Linked DNA regions of Caenorhabditis elegans. The protein of the gene in region 1 interacts with the protein of each later gene in a pairwise test. Each region holds a gene or a part of one and is shown in the gene's direction. Other genes may lie near its edges.

The links. Proteins that work in one complex are often made in the same cells at the same time.
Region 2: the proteins of emb-9 (region 1) and ephx-1 interact in a two-hybrid assay, tested with the Caenorhabditis elegans proteins (one large-scale study listed by BioGRID).
Region 3: the proteins of emb-9 (region 1) and vbh-1 interact in a two-hybrid assay, tested with the Caenorhabditis elegans proteins (one large-scale study listed by BioGRID).

Annotation. Positions count from the first base shown.
Region 1 is NC_003281.10:9,340,252-9,346,658, reverse strand, and holds the start of emb-9 (Collagen alpha-1(IV) chain), read left to right. Parts: upstream 1-2,211; 5' UTR 2,212-2,260; coding exon 2,261-2,328; intron 2,329-2,602; coding exon 2,603-2,769; intron 2,770-3,178; coding exon 3,179-3,330; intron 3,331-3,735; coding exon 3,736-4,138; intron 4,139-4,195; coding exon 4,196-4,320; intron 4,321-4,364; coding exon 4,365-5,219; intron 5,220-5,275; coding exon 5,276-5,530; intron 5,531-5,623; coding exon 5,624-5,866; intron 5,867-5,920; coding exon 5,921-6,407. UniProt on the Caenorhabditis elegans protein: Collagen type IV is specific for basement membranes. Required to restrict presynaptic growth at the neuromuscular junctions (NMJ) in late larval stage and in adult motor neurons.
Region 2 is NC_003280.10:4,002,013-4,008,457, forward strand, and holds the start of ephx-1 (SH2 domain-containing protein), read left to right. Parts: upstream 1-2,901; coding exon 2,902-3,005; intron 3,006-4,729; coding exon 4,730-4,819; intron 4,820-4,868; coding exon 4,869-5,078; intron 5,079-5,879; coding exon 5,880-6,445.
Region 3 is NC_003279.8:3,157,448-3,165,069, reverse strand, and holds vbh-1 (RNA helicase), read left to right. Parts: upstream 1-2,678; 5' UTR 2,679-2,786; coding exon of another isoform or gene 2,787-2,854; intron 2,855-2,900; coding exon of another isoform or gene 2,901-2,934; coding exon 2,935-3,152; intron 3,153-3,280; coding exon 3,281-3,331; intron 3,332-3,367; coding exon of another isoform or gene 3,368-3,376; coding exon 3,377-3,427; intron 3,428-3,473; coding exon 3,474-3,786; intron 3,787-3,854; coding exon 3,855-4,915; intron 4,916-4,962; coding exon 4,963-5,147; intron 5,148-5,202; coding exon 5,203-5,306; 3' UTR 5,307-6,578; downstream 6,579-7,622. Other genes in the region: Y54E10A.6 (B3/B4 tRNA-binding domain-containing protein), read right to left, coding at 1-479, 981-1,113, 1,250-1,378; mrpl-17 (Large ribosomal subunit protein bL17m), read right to left, coding at 1,557-1,832, 1,885-1,986, 2,048-2,254.

The DNA of each region.
Region 1 (6,407 bases):
TCAAGCTATCAAGTATATTCTCAATATTTTTTCATTTGGTCACTATCACTAAAAACCTTAAATTTGACAATGAGCCTAGTAATATCGTTAATTGAAGAGAATATAGGCATATGAATAGGCATCATGTATCAAAAATAATTATTCAGCTGAATTCCCTATCTTCGATCAACTATCAGTATAGGGCAACTCATGTTTTCAAAAAAGTACAAACTTTACTGAAACCTAACTCCCGCCTTCTCTTGCCACTTGCAAACCAACACAGATGACCCCTAACAACTGCGTATAGTGAGAATCCCGGTCTCGTCTCAAAGCACCTCGCAATGACCTCGCACAGTTGGCAGATATTGCTGACAGCTCGATCGATCAGTGTGGCTCTGTCTTCAATCAAAAGTTGAAGGAGGCAAAAGAGAGAATTTGTGTGTGTATGTGTGTGTGAGTGGGAGCGAATTTTGATAAAAGACGGATGAGGTTGCTTGAAAGTTGATGTGCACTCTCAAAAGTTTGATTCATGAATGATAAATAGGTGGAGCGCGATTCATTGTTTTTTCAAGAAATAAAAACTTTTGAAAATAAGTTATTACGTTGAAAAGCTTGGAATTTCAATTTCAACAGAAACCAAATATTTTTGTGATATTTTTTGCTGGCTTCAAGCTGATTTGGTTCAGATCTTTTTCCGATTCTCGAATCATTAATATCCCATTTTCTAACGAGGAAAATATAATTCAGATTTGGCGAAATCTTAGCTTGTTTTTGAAGCTGCATTTTTTTTTATTTTCTGAAATCAAATATTTCTAATGTTTAAAAAAACGTTAAGATCTGAAAAAAACAAGTTTTTACCGAATTTTTTTACGTCACTAAATGCTTTAAAAATTCAACAAAATGAAAGTTCATTGAAAACAATGTATGCAAAAATTGAAGAACTACAATTGCTGTTTGTTTTCCCTGTAACCCGTAGAAATTGCAGCGTTTTCTTTTTGAGAAAATTGCAAAACCAAGCGTTTTAAGCTCTAAAAATATAAAAGACTAGAGAAACTTCTGGACCTACCACATAAAAAATGAATGTCAATTCTCCAGAATTAGCATGTAGAGCATGTTGAAGCTCCGTGTCAATTTTACTATAAAAACAATTTATCTGAAATTGCGCGATTCTGAATTGCCGTTTCAGAAATTACTTACGAATACCATTTTTTCCCTATTAGAAATGTACCTCCAACTTCAATACTTTAACCGCATGGGTACACACTGTGTGTACTACACAGTTTTCAAAAAAAAAAACAACACAACTTCCAGAATTTCTTGAACTTTATTTTCTTTTTCAAAACATTTTCCACACTTTCCGGTCACTTGTTTCCATTTCAACTTTTTTCTTAACTTGAACAATTTGCTCGAACTTCAACTGTAGTTTCCAGCTGTCTGTCGATCAGGTCTGGTGTCCGTGTCATCTAAAGACATGGCACACACACACAGGCAACCAAACCGAACAGGCCATTCTCCAGATGTTTAGTAAAAAAATGACAAAGTGCGATTCTCTCCATTTTTATTATAAATCGTTCTTTTCCATTCTTCCTCCCCTTCTCTTTTAGTTTTGCAACACATCAAGGTTTGTGTCGTTGCTTGGGCCGGCTGTTGGACGCTCTCGGAGCGCGCCTCTGGATGATTGAAAAGACACCGTGTGTAATGTGTAATGCTCTTTCATTTTATCATTGAATTTTCTAACTTTTATCCTTATTTTACTGGAATTAATCGCCGTCTGGAATTTTTCAGAACATGAACGAAACTAATCAATTGTAGCGCAATATTTTCTTATGACATATAAAAATGCAGAAAAAAGAGAATCCGGCTGTATGTCTTCAAATTAATCATTTTTTCTATGGCTCACTAAGAATTCAAAACCGTGGTTTCATTCCTGCCAGTTAGAACTAAACTAGACTTATTTTAATCTGATGGTTGGAGATTTTGATTGTTTTTTTTTTAAATATATTTTGAAATTAAATTTCTCATTCAACTCTCCTTTTCGGTGACATCACGGTAATCACCAGAAAATTAAAATTAAAGTTTGCAGTCAAAACTTCAAAAACCTTAAAAATTGAACTACTTTTCATTTTAAGCGTATCTGACATAACATCAAGTGCAATGTTCTTAAATTTCCTCAATACTTTATTTCTTCTATGTATTTTTATTTTCTCGTTGCTTACATAATATAATTTTCAGAACGACACCAATCTTTGGGTAACGAGAAGTCGATCGCCGTGACTGGAAGATGTCACGCTTATCGCTTCTCGGCTTGACGGCAGCCGTAGTGCTACTGTCGTCGTTCTGTCAAGATAGGTGAGTTGTTTTAAAAAAATTTGAATGTGAAAAAAAAACTATATAAAACTTTAAATTCATTCGAAACTATAAAACAAACTTGGTTCGAACTTTCAGAAAAATGAATGAATAAGAAACAAATATTTTTTGAAAGTTTCAGCGGCAATTTCTAAAAAAATAAATAATCAAGAAAAGGCCCTAAAATGTGCATTACTGATCTGGCTAAAGTCCCCCTGCCCTCACCTTGCCTGAAATGATTATCTATAATTTATCCCATTGCAATTTTTAATTTCAGGATACATGTGGATGCTGCCGCCGCATGCAAGGGATGTGCTCCACCATGTGTTTGCCCAGGAACCAAAGGAGAACGTGGTAATCCAGGATTTGGTGGTGAACCAGGACATCCTGGAGCACCAGGACAAGATGGACCAGAAGGAGCACCAGGAGCTCCAGGAATGTTTGGTGAGTTTTTAAGTTTAAATTAGAAATATTTTACAAAAAAAAGACCTAAATGGTTTGCTGAAAATATCAACAAAAAAAAACACCGATTTGAAAAAATTAATTAAATAGAAACACAAAAATAAAAATAAAAACAATTTTTAATATTGAATTCATGTTACACTGGTAATCGTATATCAAAATGATAAGCTAAAAAAAATAACTAAATGCATTTTTTATAATTCTGAAGAAATGTATTTTCACTATTTATTACGGTAATACCAAAATCTTTGAAAATTCGATTGAATGCACTTTTTTCTATTGAAAACTATTTAAAGAAGACGTTTTAACCTTTTTTAAATAGTAAGTTCTTACACTGAAAAAGATCTTAAAAATATCAAAAATCTTAAAAATAAAAAATTCCATATTTCAGGAGCCGAAGGAGATTTTGGAGATATGGGATCTAAGGGAGCTCGTGGAGATCGTGGTCTTCCTGGATCGCCAGGTCATCCAGGTCTTCAAGGACTTGACGGATTACCAGGACTGAAAGGAGAAGAAGGAATTCCAGGATGCAATGGAACAGATGTAAGTGACCTTTCCAAAAGTGATATATGTAATATTATTCATTTGTCAGATGTTGTTAGTGTCTTGAGGTTTTTTTTGAGTTTTAAGCTCCTTCGAGTCCAGCGGTGAAACAGAAAACAGAAAAAGTGAGAGATAGATAGATGCAGTGCTTTTTATGTGTATAGAGCATCGGGATGTGTAATGACTCATCTTGCATCTTTTTCTCAAGTGTCGCGGTCCCCACACATTGACTAATTGCACTATAATTATTGACCAGAGGAAACTGAAAAAAACTGAAGATAGTGATTTTTATAAACATTTTCTGGAAAAAAAATCCTCCTAAAAATTAATTGGAATAATCAATTTTACAACAAAAATAGTTATAATTTTCAATAACTGGAAGCAAAATAAAAACAAAACTTTCAGGGTTTCCCTGGAATGCCCGGACTTGCTGGACCTCCAGGGCAATCTGGACAAAACGGAAACCCTGGACGACCAGGACTCTCCGGACCACCAGGAGAAGGAGGTGTCAATTCACAAGGACGCAAAGGAGTTAAAGGAGAATCTGGAAGATCAGGAGTTCCAGGTCTTCCAGGAAACTCTGGTTATCCTGGATTGAAAGGAGCAAAGGGAGATCCAGGACCGTACGGTCTTCCCGGATTCCCCGGAGTTTCTGGATTGAAGGGAAGAATGGGAGTGAGAACTTCTGGTGTTAAGGGAGAGAAGGGTTTGCCTGGACCACCAGGACCACCAGGACAACCGGGATCTTATCCATGGGCTTCAAAGCCAATTGAGATGGAAGTCTTGCAAGGACCTGTCGGACCAGCTGGTTGGTTTTTTTTAATTTTAAATAATTAAAAACTATATAAGAAGTTTACCATTTCAGGAGTGAAAGGAGAAAAGGGACGTGATGGACCAGTAGGACCACCAGGAATGCTCGGACTTGACGGACCACCAGGATATCCTGGATTAAAGGGACAGAAGGGAGATTTGGGAGATGCTGGACAACGTGTAAGTATTTGCCCTAATAAAAAACTTAAGTTTTTATTTTGCAGGGTAAACGTGGAAAGGACGGAGTTCCAGGAAATTATGGAGAAAAGGGATCCCAAGGAGAACAAGGACTTGGAGGAACTCCAGGATACCCAGGAACTAAGGGAGGGGCTGGAGAACCAGGATACCCAGGAAGACCAGGTTTCGAAGGAGACTGTGGACCGGAAGGACCACTTGGAGAAGGAACTGGTGAGGCTGGACCACATGGAGCTCAAGGATTCGACGGAGTTCAAGGAGGCAAAGGATTGCCAGGACATGATGGTCTCCCAGGACCAGTAGGTCCAAGAGGTCCAGTTGGAGCTCCAGGAGCCCCAGGACAGCCCGGTATCGATGGAATGCCAGGATACACCGAAAAAGGAGATAGAGGAGAGGACGGTTACCCAGGATTCGCTGGCGAACCAGGACTCCCAGGAGAACCAGGAGATTGTGGTTATCCAGGAGAGGATGGTCTTCCAGGATACGATATTCAAGGACCACCTGGACTTGACGGACAATCCGGAAGAGATGGATTCCCTGGTATTCCAGGAGACATCGGAGATCCAGGTTATTCTGGAGAAAAGGGATTCCCAGGAACTGGAGTTAACAAAGTTGGACCACCAGGAATGACCGGTTTGCCAGGAGAGCCAGGAATGCCAGGACGTATTGGAGTTGACGGTTATCCAGGACCACCAGGAAACAATGGAGAAAGAGGAGAAGACTGTGGATATTGTCCAGATGGTGTTCCAGGAAATGCTGGAGATCCAGGATTCCCCGGAATGAATGGATATCCAGGACCACCAGGACCTAATGGTGATCATGGAGACTGCGGAATGCCAGGAGCTCCAGGAAAGCCAGGATCCGCTGGATCAGATGGACTTTCAGTAAGTTTGCAGTCGTTAGTAAAGTTGCTGATTAAACACAAATTCGGTTTTTACAGGGATCACCAGGACTTCCAGGAATTCCAGGCTACCCAGGAATGAAGGGAGAAGCCGGAGAGATCGTTGGACCAATGGAAAACCCAGCTGGAATTCCAGGTCTTAAGGGAGATCATGGTCTTCCAGGACTACCAGGACGACCAGGAAGTGACGGACTCCCTGGTTACCCAGGAGGACCAGGACAAAATGGATTCCCAGGACTCCAAGGTGAACCAGGTCTTGCTGGAATTGATGGGAAGAGAGGACGTCAAGGATCTGTGAGTTATATATTTCAAGGATAATTTAAGCTTCTAATTAAGCTCATGATTTTTTAAACATTAAAAAACATTATAAACTATTTCAATTTTCAGCTCGGAATCCCAGGACTTCAAGGACCACCTGGAGACTCTTTCCCAGGACAGCCAGGAACACCTGGTTACAAGGGAGAACGAGGTGCTGATGGTCTTCCAGGACTTCCAGGAGCTCAAGGACCACGGGGAATTCCAGCACCATTGAGAATTGTCAATCAAGTTGCTGGACAACCAGGTGTTGACGGCATGCCAGGTCTTCCAGGAGATAGAGGAGCTGATGGTCTTCCAGGACTCCCAGGACCGGTAAGTGTTTTATTTTTGATTATTTCTATTTCTGAAATAAATTTTAAATTTCAGGTTGGACCAGACGGATACCCAGGAACACCAGGAGAGCGCGGTATGGATGGTCTTCCAGGATTCCCAGGACTCCATGGAGAGCCTGGAATGCGTGGACAGCAAGGAGAAGTTGGTTTCAACGGAATTGATGGGGACTGTGGAGAGCCAGGTCTTGACGGATACCCCGGAGCACCAGGAGCTCCAGGAGCTCCAGGAGAGACTGGATTTGGCTTCCCAGGACAAGTCGGATACCCAGGACCAAATGGAGATGCTGGGGCAGCTGGACTTCCAGGACCAGACGGCTACCCAGGAAGAGACGGTCTTCCAGGAACTCCTGGATACCCAGGAGAAGCAGGAATGAACGGACAAGATGGAGCCCCAGGACAGCCAGGATCTCGTGGAGAGTCTGGACTTGTTGGAATTGATGGAAAGAAAGGACGCGATGGAACCCCAGGAACACGTGGACAAGACGGTGGACCGGGATATTCCGGAGAGGCTGGAGCCCCAG
Region 2 (6,445 bases), on another chromosome or scaffold:
CGCTTCTCTCTCAAAAGTCAATTGATATATTTAATAGAGTGCAGCGGTAAAATCTTTACACATTTCGTACGAGAGCACTTGGCACTGGGACATTGTAAATTGAACAGGAAAATAGAAATAAAACTATTATAGATTCGCAACAAATAGTCCAATTGACCATCAAATTTTAATACAATAACCACCGAATTGTCTTCCAGCTGACTGAGCACCTGTACGGAAACGATTTGATTCTTTTGAGAACGAGGAAAAGGGAGTGTGAACTTGTACATTTGCATGTCGTACTACTACATTTCCTTTCACTCTCTAAATCTCTCGTCTCTTCTACTATAAATCCCTTGAGGGTTATGCAGAAAGACCAATCCCCCCTCTCACTCGAAACCTCTCTTTTACACAATCGGCGTGGGCTGTTTACTTTTCATTAGTATCAACAACAGTGTTTCAGTTTTCGGTTCTTTTGAACTTTTATTTTGATTTGGAGAATATTTAGTGCAAGCACGTGGTGTCAGGTTGCCCCATTACAATTTGATCTACGAAAAATGCGGGTAATTTTTTCCCAAAAAATGTGACGTCAGCACGTTTATATCCATGTAAAATCAGTTGAAAAGACAGCGTCTAAATTCCCGCAATTCTTGTAGATCAAACCGAGATGGGACATCCTGACGCCACGTGGGCAAGCTTATTAAGCTAAATTTGCTTTTTGAAAATTTTTAGAATTTTTCGTTTTTTTAAGAAAAAAATTTGACATTTCTTTAGACATTTGTCTAAAGAAATTATGATACAATTTTTAGTTAAAAAACCCGATTAATTTCCAAAAAAAATTCCAGAAAAGTATAATCCCTCTAGAAATCGATAAAGTAGTCAAATATCTGAAATTGTCTTCTTTCGGAGCTAGCTTGAATATTTTTGTCAAAACCTCAAAACTTTTCAGAAAAATTTACACAATATTTTCGTACCTATAGAATTTCCAGGAACACCTAGCAGAATTTTTTAAAGTTATTTTGATCAACTAATAATTCAAAAAAAAGTTCAAAAACCGGAAAGTGTTCGAAATCATTCAAGAATGTGTGTTGTGTATCTGTGATTGTGCAAATAGTCTTTTGTTACGCTCGTTTGAAAGTTCAAATATTTGATTCTGTGTGGGAGGTCACGGGAGCACAACACCTTTTAAAATAGTAGCTAGAAAACTAGTTTTAAAACTTCTAAACTTTAAAAAAATCTGAAAAGTTCTAGTTTTGACCTTTTTCAAATACCAACCAATTTCACTTTGTCATGGCTTTTCCGTATGTGTCACCCTTCCCCTCGGAACAATATTACTCTCGACTAGCAAGCTGTTCATCAATCAAATTTCATGAGTTATGAGCGTAGATGCCATTCTGCGCTTTGTAAATACGTAAAATTCAAGGGTTAGCTTTTTATGCGATTTATACTTTTTTGAAAGTTTTGAAAGTCTGAAAATTTAGCAAAAATTCAAAAAGAAGGATATGCTTAAAGCCCTAAGAATTTTTCGTTTTAACCTTGAGGATTGGTCGAAATTTAATGAAGGTCGAAGAGAAGTCTGAAATTTTGGAATTAGATACTTAGATACTGGAGACGAGCCTAAGCATAGTCCTGAGCCTAAGAATAAGCCTAAGCCTGAGCCTTTAGACTTTCTTGTGAAGCCTGAATCTAACTAGTAACCCTCCTAATAAGCATGAACTCTGAGGTAGAAGTGGTGCTCTTGAAGCATAAAAAAACAAAAAAACTCAAGTGCAATATTGCAATATCCATTTCGTAGTCCTCTCGAATGTCACTCACCCATCAACATTGTGCTCGCGGTCAGTAAATGCAAATTGCAATCCTTGCCTCCCGTATGTTTTTCACACATTTTCCTTATCCATCTGCGTCTCCTCGTCTCCCGATTCTCGCGCATTGACCACCACTGACCATGGTCTCGCAGGAGAAAAGGCGCTTCCTGTCGTGTGTTCTGCTCATTGTGCAGCACTTTTGAAGATTTTGCAAAATGCATATTTACTAGGAGAAGCTTTGTATAAAAATTTCACTTACCATTTAACCTCACTTCAGAAAAAGAAATGTAATTGACCCCCATTTTTCAAGGTTTCTTTGTTGTTAGAGTCTATTGTACTAACTTTTTTTATTCTTTTAAGTACTTCACACATTTCTTTGGCAAATTGGAAAAATGTTGAAAAGGGGGTCTGTATTAAGTGCTGGTCTGGAAGTAGCCATTACATAGCTGAAGCAAAGTAGCCGAGACGGCTAGGTCGACAGACTAGTTCTGTTCTTTCTGAATAAGCTTTTAAGAAATATTTTTATAGTTTGCTTCTAATTGTAATGGCGCTCGGCAGGCACTAGGCATGCACTAGGCAGACACTAGGCAGGCAGAAGGTAGGTTCTAGGCAGACATTAGGCTGGCACTAGGAAAGCACTCTGTAGGTCGTAGATAGGAAGTGCCAAATAGGCACTAGGCAGGTGCTAGGCAGACACTAGGCAGGCACTAGGTAGGCATTAGGTAGGCCCTAGGCAGACACAATGTAGGCAACCCCTCCTCGGCTTATCATTCCCAAAAGCTCTTGAAAAGGAAGATGTTTTTTTCATCATGAAAATTTTTTCCGCGATTTTTTGGGGAAGTGTGTATGTGGTGCGCAGTATAAACATTCGCCCCAATCATCATCAATATTATTGTGCTCTTTTTCCCACTTGCTCTCTCGGGGGGCTCCACTCACACATTCAAATGTTGAATCAAGCGATTAACCCATCGAGAGTTGTTGCATGCATCTCCTCTGTTTTCTTTTCCTCTTTTTCTCGCTTTTTTTGAAAAAAAAACTCTATTTTTAGATTAATAAAACATAATCAAATAAATATATGAAATTTACAGTGTCTGGGGGTAATCTGAGCCAAAATCTAATGTCCAATGCACCATCAACGACGACATCAGAAGCCCAGAAGATCGCGACAACGACGACGACGACGAAAATGCGATTGCCCAGTGTTAAGGAACTTGCCAAGAGGTAAGACAGCATTTTTTATAGGATTTTGTAGAGTGTAGAGATATTTTAAGGTTACTGTAGAAGTGGTACTATAAGGTTTTTGGGGTACAGTACTGCAGGGTAGTAGGGTATAGTAGGGACACTGTGGGGGTACTGTAGGAGTACGGTAGGAATACTGTAGGGTACTGTAGGAGTGATATAGAGGTATTGTAGAAATACTGTAGGGTGGACTACTTCAGGGGTACTGTAGGTACTGTAGGAGTACTGTAGGGGCAGTGGGAGGCTTTCACAGATGTAGTGCCGGTAAGGGCACTGTAGAGGAACTGTAGGAGTACTGCAGAAGTGTTGTAGGAACCTGTTCGACTATTTTAGGAGTACTGCATAGGTACTGAAGGGACAAAATGAGGCTTTTACTGTAATAACATCTGTAGTACCAGTTTAGGGTACTGTAGAGGAACAAATTGGAGTACTGTATAGGTATTGTAGGAGGATAACTGTATGGGTACTGTATGAGTACTCTAGGATAACTGTAGGGGTACTGTAGGAGTACTGTAGCTTTTTCCCACTTTGTACGTGTCATCGTTGCTTATTTTCAGCCAAACTTTTACCAAACATTTATTTTTGAAAAACTGTCCCCGCCTGCTTGTTGACACATAGATTCTATCCATTTTTTCAAAAAATATTTATTTAAGTTTAATTTTGGCAGCTCATATCTAAGTTGTCATAGTTTTTTATCAAAAAGTTCTTAACTGAGAAAATCTTGGTTTTAAATTTTCCAATAGTTTTGCAATTGACCAATTTTGGATATTTTTGAATTTCACCGGAATATACATAAGCTGCCAAAGTGTAGAACACAAAATTTTCATACCAATAGAATAACCAGCTAGAAAATTAACTTTTCTCTTGTCCTATGCTTCTTCGTTTAAAAAAAAAGTTTTTTGTTTATATGTCTGCAATTCAATTTCTGTATGATTGTCAAACAAATACTACTTTTCCTCCTCCTTCACACACTCACTCCAACACAGTTGTTCTCCAGCCAACAATAGCAGCACATTACCCTTCGGTTGATTGACATAATATATTGAAACCGGACAGGAAGAAAAACGGTTGAAGAAGTAAAGAGAGACCGAGGGCGTCGTCATTTCTTCCAGAAGCTTCTTCGTGGGAAAATTGTTGGAGTTTTAGAGATGGTTCGGAGAAGTTTGGCAACTTTTTATGAAGTTTTACTCTAATATCAGCTCAACTTTGAAAGCTTAAAAAAGCATTAAAAATGTTCAGAATCTTTTGGAAACTTTCTCCAACTTTCACCCAAACTTCAACTTTAGGATGTATATTATTTGGAATTTACCATCTCCTAGCTTTAGCGCCTGCCTGCCTAGGAACCTACCTACCGCATCCCTCTCTTCATTAGTACATCTCTGAAGAATTTCCAAAATGTGTATGTCTCCCCGCTCCCCCTGCCTTATCACCATCATTTTATTATTATTGTTATCAAATATTCCCACCACGCCTCATCACTGACCACTCCTTTTTACGATATGGTCATTTGGAGAGATTGTTAAACAATTTTTGAGTTTGCCGAAACGTTTCGTTTTTTGTAGTATTATAGAATGTAAAATTTAAAAAAAATTGCGCCAACCAATCAGCGACGTTAGCCACGCCTATTAGAATACGCTGATTAGTCGGCGACTTGTTGAATTTGCAATTTTAAAATTGATCTTCCAAAAGCTATTTCCGATTTCCAGATTCGAAACCAGCACAAGCCGAATTGAGCACCACAAACCGGTGATCTCCAAACGAATCGGCAAGTTCCGGGTAGTGGAAAACCTTCACGAGTAAGTAATTTTCCTCTTCAGTTTTGCTCTTAATTTGCTTGTTTTTCAGGCCGTGCACATCACGAGTGCTACGTGGAAGCGCCATACCGCGACGGAAAAGTTCGTTGAAACGACGAACGCGGAGCAACTCGGAGCTCGCCGTCCTGGTCACATCTTCTGAATTTCGGAAGAGCAAATCCACTGGCGACTTTTCACCGACGGGTGCCGGAGCATCGGGTGCTCCAATTGTGATAACACCGCTACCTGCACCTAGATTACGGTAGGTGAAATGAGGGGTACTGTAGGAGTACTGTATGACAACTTGAGGGGTATTGTGGATTACTGTAGAAGAACTGTGGGGGTACAGTAGGGCTACTGTAGGGTATTGTGGGATACTGTAGATTAATGTAAGATTACATCGTGGGTACTATAGGAATACTGTAGGTATTCTGTAGGGGTACTGTAGTAGTACTGTAGGGGTACAGTAAGGTTACTGTAGGGTATTGTGGAATGCTGTAGGAGTGATGTGGGGTACTGTAGGGGTAATTTTAAAAAATAATGTTTTTAATCAAAGTTTTAAAGTTGTTCTGAAAATTTTCAGTCTAAAACTTTATTTTAAATAATTTAGTTTGAAATACTATACAAAAATTGAACTTTTGGCAATTTTGAAGCTTTATAAATTTTACAACAATAATCTTTTACAACAATATCTTCAAATAAAATTTCAAAAAATTCAAATTTAAAAATTTCAATTCAATTTCTCTTCAAAACATTTCAGTTTCCAAAACCTTCCGGCTTTCAAAATCTTGATTAAAGTTTTGAAAAGTTACTTTTTTTACTTCAATAGAATACAATTTTATAAAAATACAAAACAGACAAATTTTTAAATAGTTCTTTATAAATAAAGCAAAATTTCAATGAAACCACTTCGAAAAACCATTAAAAATTTCAAACAAAAAACTAATTTCTAAAAAAAACTTTTTTTTTCAATTCCACCCACAGTGACTCATTTTTCGAATGTTTCAAGGTTCTCTATGATTCACGAATCAGAAATGTAAATAAGAATCCCTTTCTATTTCAGTCTTCAAACAACAAGCATGATTGTTGAAAGTTCCCCTTCTCCATCTTTCCATTCCAAAAAAGATGGTCACCCAGTGTACGAGGAGCGGTGTCGAGTGTCCTTAACAATTCCAATTTCTTCGTCAGAAGATCTTTCCGCTGTATCTCCACCACCACCTCTACCATCTGTACCTCCGTCTAAGGAGAGGATCAAGAGGATTCCTTCCTACCTGAAGCCTACTCCCGCGCCGAGGTCTATGTCTGCCACGCTGCCCAGGGCTCGTCTGAAGACCCCACCACCTCCACCCCCAGTTACCAATCAATTTGACACCCTGCCGGTCAGTTTCCGGAGCAGCTCAACATCCTCCAGCACAGGAGGTCTCCCGAGAATCCCGAATATCCCCGTCCCAGATGTCCCTTTTATTCCACTGGATGACGACAACTGTTACGATGAAATTATGCTGGTCACGCCATCATCAAACACATGTATACCTACACATCAACGTCTAGAATCCGAGTACACCTATGAATCTCAGTCTACCGACTTTTCAAGGCCGGAGCCTCCTAGAGCCTCCGGGTCAGAGCCCA
Region 3 (7,622 bases), on another chromosome or scaffold:
TTTTTGAGCCAGAGCAATCACTGCATTAAGCTTCCCACGCTTATCATTGGCAAGCTTCTGAAATCTGCTCTCCGAGAAGCAATTCTTCGAAATATCCAAAACCTTCAACTTGGGAAGGTGTGCAATCACACTCGGAACATCTTTCAGCTTATTCTCATCAATTTTAAGCTCTTTCAATTGCTTCAAATTGCTCAAACTATCCGGTATCACTTCAATTGAATTATGAGAGAGTATTATCGTATGGAGTTTTGCAGAAAGATTGTGAGAAGTGAGAGACGCAGGAATCTTGGAAATTGTGTTGTGAGCGGCGTCGAAAATATGAAGATTCGAGAGATTTGATATATCCGGGAAACTCGATTCATTGAGGCGGTTGTTGTTGAGAATTAGAGATTCAAGATTTTCACATTTTGAAATTGAAGCAGGAAGAGCATCCAGATGATTGTGTGAAAGATCCATGAATTTTAGTTTTGGCAAGCAATCTGGAAATTTTCATAGTTATATTTGTTTTGGCAAATCGGCAACCGGCAAGTTGGCAGTTTGCCTAATTTGCCTAAAATTAAATTGTAGGCACACTATCTTTTAAAAAATCCCTTTAAGAACTTCCGGCAAACCGGCAATTTGCCGGAATTTTAAAAAATTTTCCGGCAAACCGGCAACTTGCGCGAAATTAAAATTGAAAATTTCCGGCAAATCGGCAATTTGCATGAATTCAAAGTTTAATTTTTTCCGGCAAATCGGCATACTTGAAAAAATAGAAAATTTCCGGCAAATCGGCAATTCGCAAGAATTTAAAATTTTATTTTTTTCCGGCAAACCGGCAATTTGCCGGAATTAAACATTTAATTTCGAAATCATGTCATTCAAAATAATTCAAATTTTTTGTTGCGAAATTGAAAAGATATGCTATTTAACAGTTATATTTGGTATATTTCGACTAATTTCCGTCTAAAAAAACAAAAAAAAATCCACAAAATACACACCAAAAACGTCTGGAAGCTGTTTTAAATCATTTTTCGGCAAAACCAAATGCATTAGATTACTGCAAGATCTAATCGAAGACGAAAGATTGTGAAGAGAGCATCCAGTGAGAGAAAGGAGATTCAATTGGGACATCTGAAAATAAATTTTGGGTTTTGATGGGAATTTAGTATTATAAAATTTACAAAAAAAAAATTTGTTTGAAATTCCGAGAAAAAAATCGTTTTTTTGCGGAAATTCACGGATTTTCCAAAAATTAAAATTCCCTTACACTCTCGAAAACCCGTTTCTGGGAAAGATTGGCCGCTTCGGTGACCGAATCGATTCGAACATTTTTGATGACAATTTCGAAGCGATTATTCTCGATCGCCTCTATTACCTCCGGTTGCTCTTCGAACATTATTCTGAATTTTAATTTTTTCGGTGAAAAAGTGGGAAAAAAATTAGATAAAGATATAAATAATTGAATCGAACCACAAAATTCGTTATAAATATTGAAAATGATTCAAAGTTTAATATATAAAGAAACAAAAATTCTAGGATTCTAGCGAAACAAAAACAAAAAAAATAATAAAAATTCATTGAGATTTCTTCGGAGTATCCAGCTTTTCCTGAAGATTCTTCTGGTGATTCCGAAGGGCGTCAGCTAGAAGAACATCAAGAATTGATTCAGATTGATCTACGCGGTCTGCTTGTATTTGTGGAAATGGATTTCCGTCGATTTCCAGAACTCCGATATCGTATCGCTTCCAGACTTCTCGCTTATTCTGGATAAATTGTTGAAGACGTTGTGGTGGAAGTCGGAATAGTGATGTGAATGGAGAATCGCGGTCTTGGAATCGTGGAACAATTACCTGGGAAAAAAATGATTTTTTTTTGGCGAAAAATCTTTTTAAATCAATTTACTTCATGCATTTTCGTAATTAAATCCTTCTCAGGCAGCCACCATTCCATCATTTCGGCTGTATACTCGTCAAGTGGTCCTCTTTCGACACCCAATTGAATTAGCTGAATTTTATTTTTTTAAATTTTAATTTTCTCACTCATTTTCAAACAAAAAACCCCTCACCCTCTCCAAATATGGCCTGGCCTCGACGGCGCGGTTCCATTTCAGCTCGGCGCGTTCCTCACGGACAGTTCGGGTGACGATGCGACGGAGCACTTCGAGACGAGCACGACGGCTTGGCTCAATTCCTCCGGTTTTCAGCTTTTGTGGTGCGTGACCAATTGTGACGCCGATTCTTGGCAGTGACACTGCCACTCGGTGAGCTGACATTGCCTGGAAATCTTTTTTTTATTAATTTTGAGTCGGAAATTCAAAAAATTGAATAAAATCCCATATATTTCAATAGAAATTCTAATAAAAATTAAATTTAATTCTATTTCGCGAAATTTCGGAGCGTTTTTTGCGTTGAAACACGCTTCCTCACACACGCACTTTAAAGGCGCACCGATTTACACGGTCGGCGGGTCTCGATGGGAAAACAAACGTCTCTTCATCATTGCGTGCTGAATTCACTTCTCTCATTTCCGCTTCTTCTCTACGGTTTTTCGTGTCGATTTTCTCCATTGTCATCGTTTTTCGCATAATTTTCGAGTTAAATTATGCGAAAAATGATAATTCGTCGTTTATTAATGATAAATACTCATTTTCTCCGTCTTAAAACTTCATTTGTTTCGCAACAAGCCAATAAAATGAATTTCAGATACATATTCTGTAATCTCGACGTCAATTGGGTACAAAATCGGTTTAGATTCGCCGATTTTTCTTTTTCGAATTCCGGGTTTCCGTTTGATATAGTCTTACAATGAACACACAATATTATGCGAATCACAACGGTCAACAACAGCCGCCACAACAACAACAGGGACAAGGGTATGATTTCGAAACGGATTTCAAGATTTCAACCTCATTTTTTCAGCTGGTCATCCTCGTATTCTCAACAGAGCAATAATATGCCTGCAGGAGGCGTATTTTACAACGGATTCGCCAACGGAACTCCGTCAAACAACGGGTATGCAATTCAACAACCTATGGTCCCAGGGATGGGGCAGATGATGGGTGCTCCTCATGCTGGATTTGTTCCTTCTCCTTACTTTCAAGGGCAGCCACAACAGCAGCAGCATTTCAAAATGGGCTACTCAGAAAACTTTGAAAACTTCGATGAGAATGGGTGAGAACAGGTGTATAGTGTGCTGGTGATTGTGTTTGCCTCTAACCATATGCTTGTTCTTCATTTCCTTTGTTGCTTTTTGTTAACCTGAAATGAGGCTTCTCTTTTATCAAATCTTGAAATTGCAGATCGTCTGGGTACAACAACTTCGCCGACAGCGGAAACGGTTTCAACAACAAGTATGTTTAAATCTGAATTACAATTTTTATTAGTAGACGTTACAGTGGAGCCGAGAGTAATCAATGGGGAGGAGCACCTGCCGAATATTCCGAAAGGTGAGATTAAAATGTTCTGATTATTAAACGCGATATGGTATTTCAGCAATTTGTTCCACCGTACCGACAGTGGCATCAACTTTGACAAGTACGAAAATATTCCCGTAGAAGTCAGCGGAGACTCCGTTCCAGCAGCCATCGAGCATTTCAATGAAGCTGGTTTTGGGCCGGCTGTGATGGAGAACGTGAATCGCAGCGGATACTCCAAGCCGACTCCTGTCCAGAAACACTCGATCCCAACTCTTTTGGCTAACCGCGATCTGATGTCTTGCGCTCAAACCGGATCTGGAAAAACTGCCGCTTTCCTGCTCCCAATTATTCAGCATATTTTGGCTGGTGGTCCAGATATGGTCAAGCCGGTAAGTAGGGCAAACCTGCGATCCATCAAAATTCGAAAAATTTATACAAAAAACTATTTTAATTGCAGCCAGCGTTCACAAACGGTCGTCGCACTTACTATCCATGTGCTCTGGTTCTCTCGCCGACTCGTGAACTTGCCATTCAAATCCACAAGGAAGCTACAAAGTTCAGCTACAAAAGCAACATCCAGACGGCTATTCTTTACGGAGGACGTGAAAACTATCGTGATCAAGTGAATCGTCTTCGCGCTGGAACGCATATCCTCATTGCTACCCCAGGTCGTTTGATTGACATTATTGAGCAAGGATTCATTGGACTCGCCGGATGTCGTTACCTGGTTCTCGACGAAGCTGATCGTATGCTTGACATGGGATTTGAGCCGCAAATCAGAAAGATCGTTGGCCAAGGAATGCCACCAAAGACTGCTCGTACCACAGCTATGTTCAGTGCAACCTTCCCGAAGGAGATTCAAGTTCTCGCTAAGGACTTCCTCAAGGATAACTATATCTTTTTGGCAGTTGGTCGTGTTGGATCAACGTCTGAAAATATTGAACAACGTCTGCTTTGGGTCAACGAGATGGAAAAGAGAAGCAATCTGATGGAAATTCTGATGAACGAGCATTCTGAAAATCTGGTTCTCGTATTCGTTGAGACAAAGAGAGGAGCCAACGAGTTGGCGTATTTCCTCAATCGTCAGCAGATCCGCTCTGTTTCAATTCACGGAGATCTCAAACAAATTGAACGTGAGAGAAATCTCGAGTTGTTCCGCTCTGGACAGTGCCCAATTCTTGTCGCAACTGCTGTTGCCGCTCGTGGATTGGATATTCCAAATGTGCGCCACGTCATCAATTATGATCTTCCTGGAGATTCTGACGAATATGTTCACCGTATCGGTAGAACCGGAAGATGCGGAAACCTTGGAATTGCCACCAGTTTCTTCAATGACAAGAATCGAGGAATCGGTCGTGATTTGAAGAATCTGATTGTCGAATCCAACCAAGAAGTCCCAGAATGGCTTCATCAAGTTGCTGCAGAAGGACGCATTGGAGGTGGACAACGTGGTGGAAACCGTCGCTTCGGAGCAACCGACTATCGTGTTGGTCGTGGTGGTGGTGGATCGTTCGGAGGGTAAGATCAAATGAGCAGTTGAAAATTAATATTGCTAATAGTTTCAGAAACTTCTCAAATTACAATTCCGGTGGAGCCACTGGTGGTTTCGGAAGTGGACCCGCCTACGGTGGTTCGTTCGGAGGAGGAGCACCACGTCGCCCGTTCACGAATGGAGGATTCGGAGCTCATAGCTCTCTGTCGTCTACCTCTAATAGTGGTGGCGGTGGCGGCTTCAGTGGCCCAAGAAGAGGTTTGTGGAGAAAATAAAGAAAATAATGCAAAATTAATCAATTCCTTGATTTCAGGTGGCTTCAACAGTGGAATGAACCGTCAGGGTGGTGGCGGTGGAGGTTTTTACTCAAACCCAGGCCAGGCTCCAATTGATCATTGGCAAGCTCCACAAGCTTAAACATTATTCGCAACAAACGGAAATCCGGAATTCCACATTAAAGTCTCGCACCATACTCCTTTTTTTATAATTTAGTTGTCTTCCTTTTTTCCTTTACTCGTTCCATCCATATTAAAATAATCATTTTTTCCTCCTTCTCTTTTTTATTCTGTCTCCTTCTTTAAAGCGTGGCTTATTCCTCTCTTTTATTTCATATTATTCTCTCTGTAATTGTGTTTTAATCATTCAATTTTTTTTATCTCAGAGCTTTAAGTGACGAATATTTTAATGGATTCTATGCGTGATCTAGGGTTTTAACATTGAATTTTATTGTATCCTCCCATTTCCCCCAAAAATGTTGTTGTTGCCTGGCAATTTGTACCATTGTTTTGTTTCTCTTGGTGTTGTTTTCTTGCATCAACAATACCCCGAGAGAATCAATGCAGTTTTATCTCGTAGTTTTGTAGTTTTTCTTATGGCCGCTGGATGGCATCCGATGCACTACCGCGTCGGGGACTCAGCACGGTTTTTCTCTATTATCGGTTGTTTGTAAGCTTTGTTGAAACCCGTTTACATAGTGCTGCCCGTTGTTGATTCGTGATATTGTGTGTATTTTTAATTAATTTTTACTTGTTCCCCAATCTGATCCCAACCATTCGTCTTGCAATTATTCAATTCTTAACTTGGTATAGCTGCGGGTGTCTAATTATATTTTCATAATTGTTCGCCAGTATGATCGTCAGTTTATCATTAAATAATTGCGAGTTAGGTATAAAAAGCTTGGTTGCTCTCTTATGATAATGATCTCCCCCCACCTATCCCCAAATCTCTATCATTTTTCCCTCCAACTGATGTTTTTTTTGAGCCAAGTAATATTCATTGTTAGTTGTTTTTTCTCCCTCTAAACAGTATACACGAAAATCATAGAACCAACCATTTCATAATACTCAAGTTGCACTATCATATGCGTCTCGTCAATAGCTAATTCCAAACATTTTCTAGGCCGGTCTAAGCCGTTGAACGTGCAGTCCGTTTCCACGCTTTCTCTTCAATTTCTATTTGCCAATTTCTCCCCAACCAACTGCATTCTTGTCCAATATGCACAATTTTTCTTTTTTATTTTCATCGTCCCTCTCCCATCATTTTTCTCTTTCCCTCGTCACGCACTTATCTCTGTCACTATGAGATTCTTATCTTCTTTTTCCATCTTGAATGTTCACTTTCAGCTCTTTGAGAATAATCTTAAAAGCCCTTGTGGCCTGACAAATAGTTGAATAAACTTGGTATCTGGTACTTGAAAACATTTATACGCGGGCATGCTGATGCTCTCGTTGCATATAAGAAATGACCGCAAGAAAATTATCTATCTTCACAACATGTCAAATGCTACGTGGTCGTTAATAGTCTAGTCCTAGGCCAAAAAATTAATGTATTAAATATTGCCTCATGTCAGTCAAATTTTCATTTCTATTTGAAAATTTGTAATTATGATTCCAGCAACTTGTAGGCTAAATTCCCGGGAGTTTATGTACCTTCGTTTCCGATGTCATTCAACTTCGAAAAAAAAAACAATCAGCAGTCTTCACCCTCTCCATTGTTGTCGAAATCCTGAATTAAAAACAATTATCATCAATGAAAATTGATAATTCTTGCCTTTCAAATAGAAAAATGCCGGTCTTCTCCTTAAAAATCTGCAAAAGAGGGGGGAAAAATGAGTAAATATGCTTTTGTGGGAGACTCATCATCAAATGAAACCAATATTGCTCGTTTTTTCAATTAAAATTATATATTTAATGATAAAATAATAAAATAAAGCATAGAAATGACACAAATAATATCTACGAAAAGCGAAGGAAAACTGCTCTCAAAATTCGGTATTATGGGAACACTAAATCATGAGAAATCCGTACTGCGCATTTCATTTGAAGCGCAGATATCTCTTAGCGAAAACTACAGTAATTCTTCAAATTACTACTGTAGCACTGTGTCGATTTACGTGCTCGGTTTTCGAAAATAATTTATTACGATACACGAAACTATAAAAATGACAAATATAATACGAAAAAGCGAAGGAAAATAGAAAATCGCTCTCAAAAAACGATAAGAAATTATTTTTGAAAATCGGACCCGGAAATCGACACAGCGCTACAGTAGTCATTTAAAGAATTACTGTAGTTTTCGTTGAGGGATATCTGCGCGGCAAATAAAATGTACAGTACGCATTGACTTAGTGTTCCTGTAATGAGTTCCCTGGTATGATAATGGCACAATTTTTTACAGAAATTGAGAAACAGATTAGTAGAACGAACGTCTGACATTTCAACTTTTATACTTCAA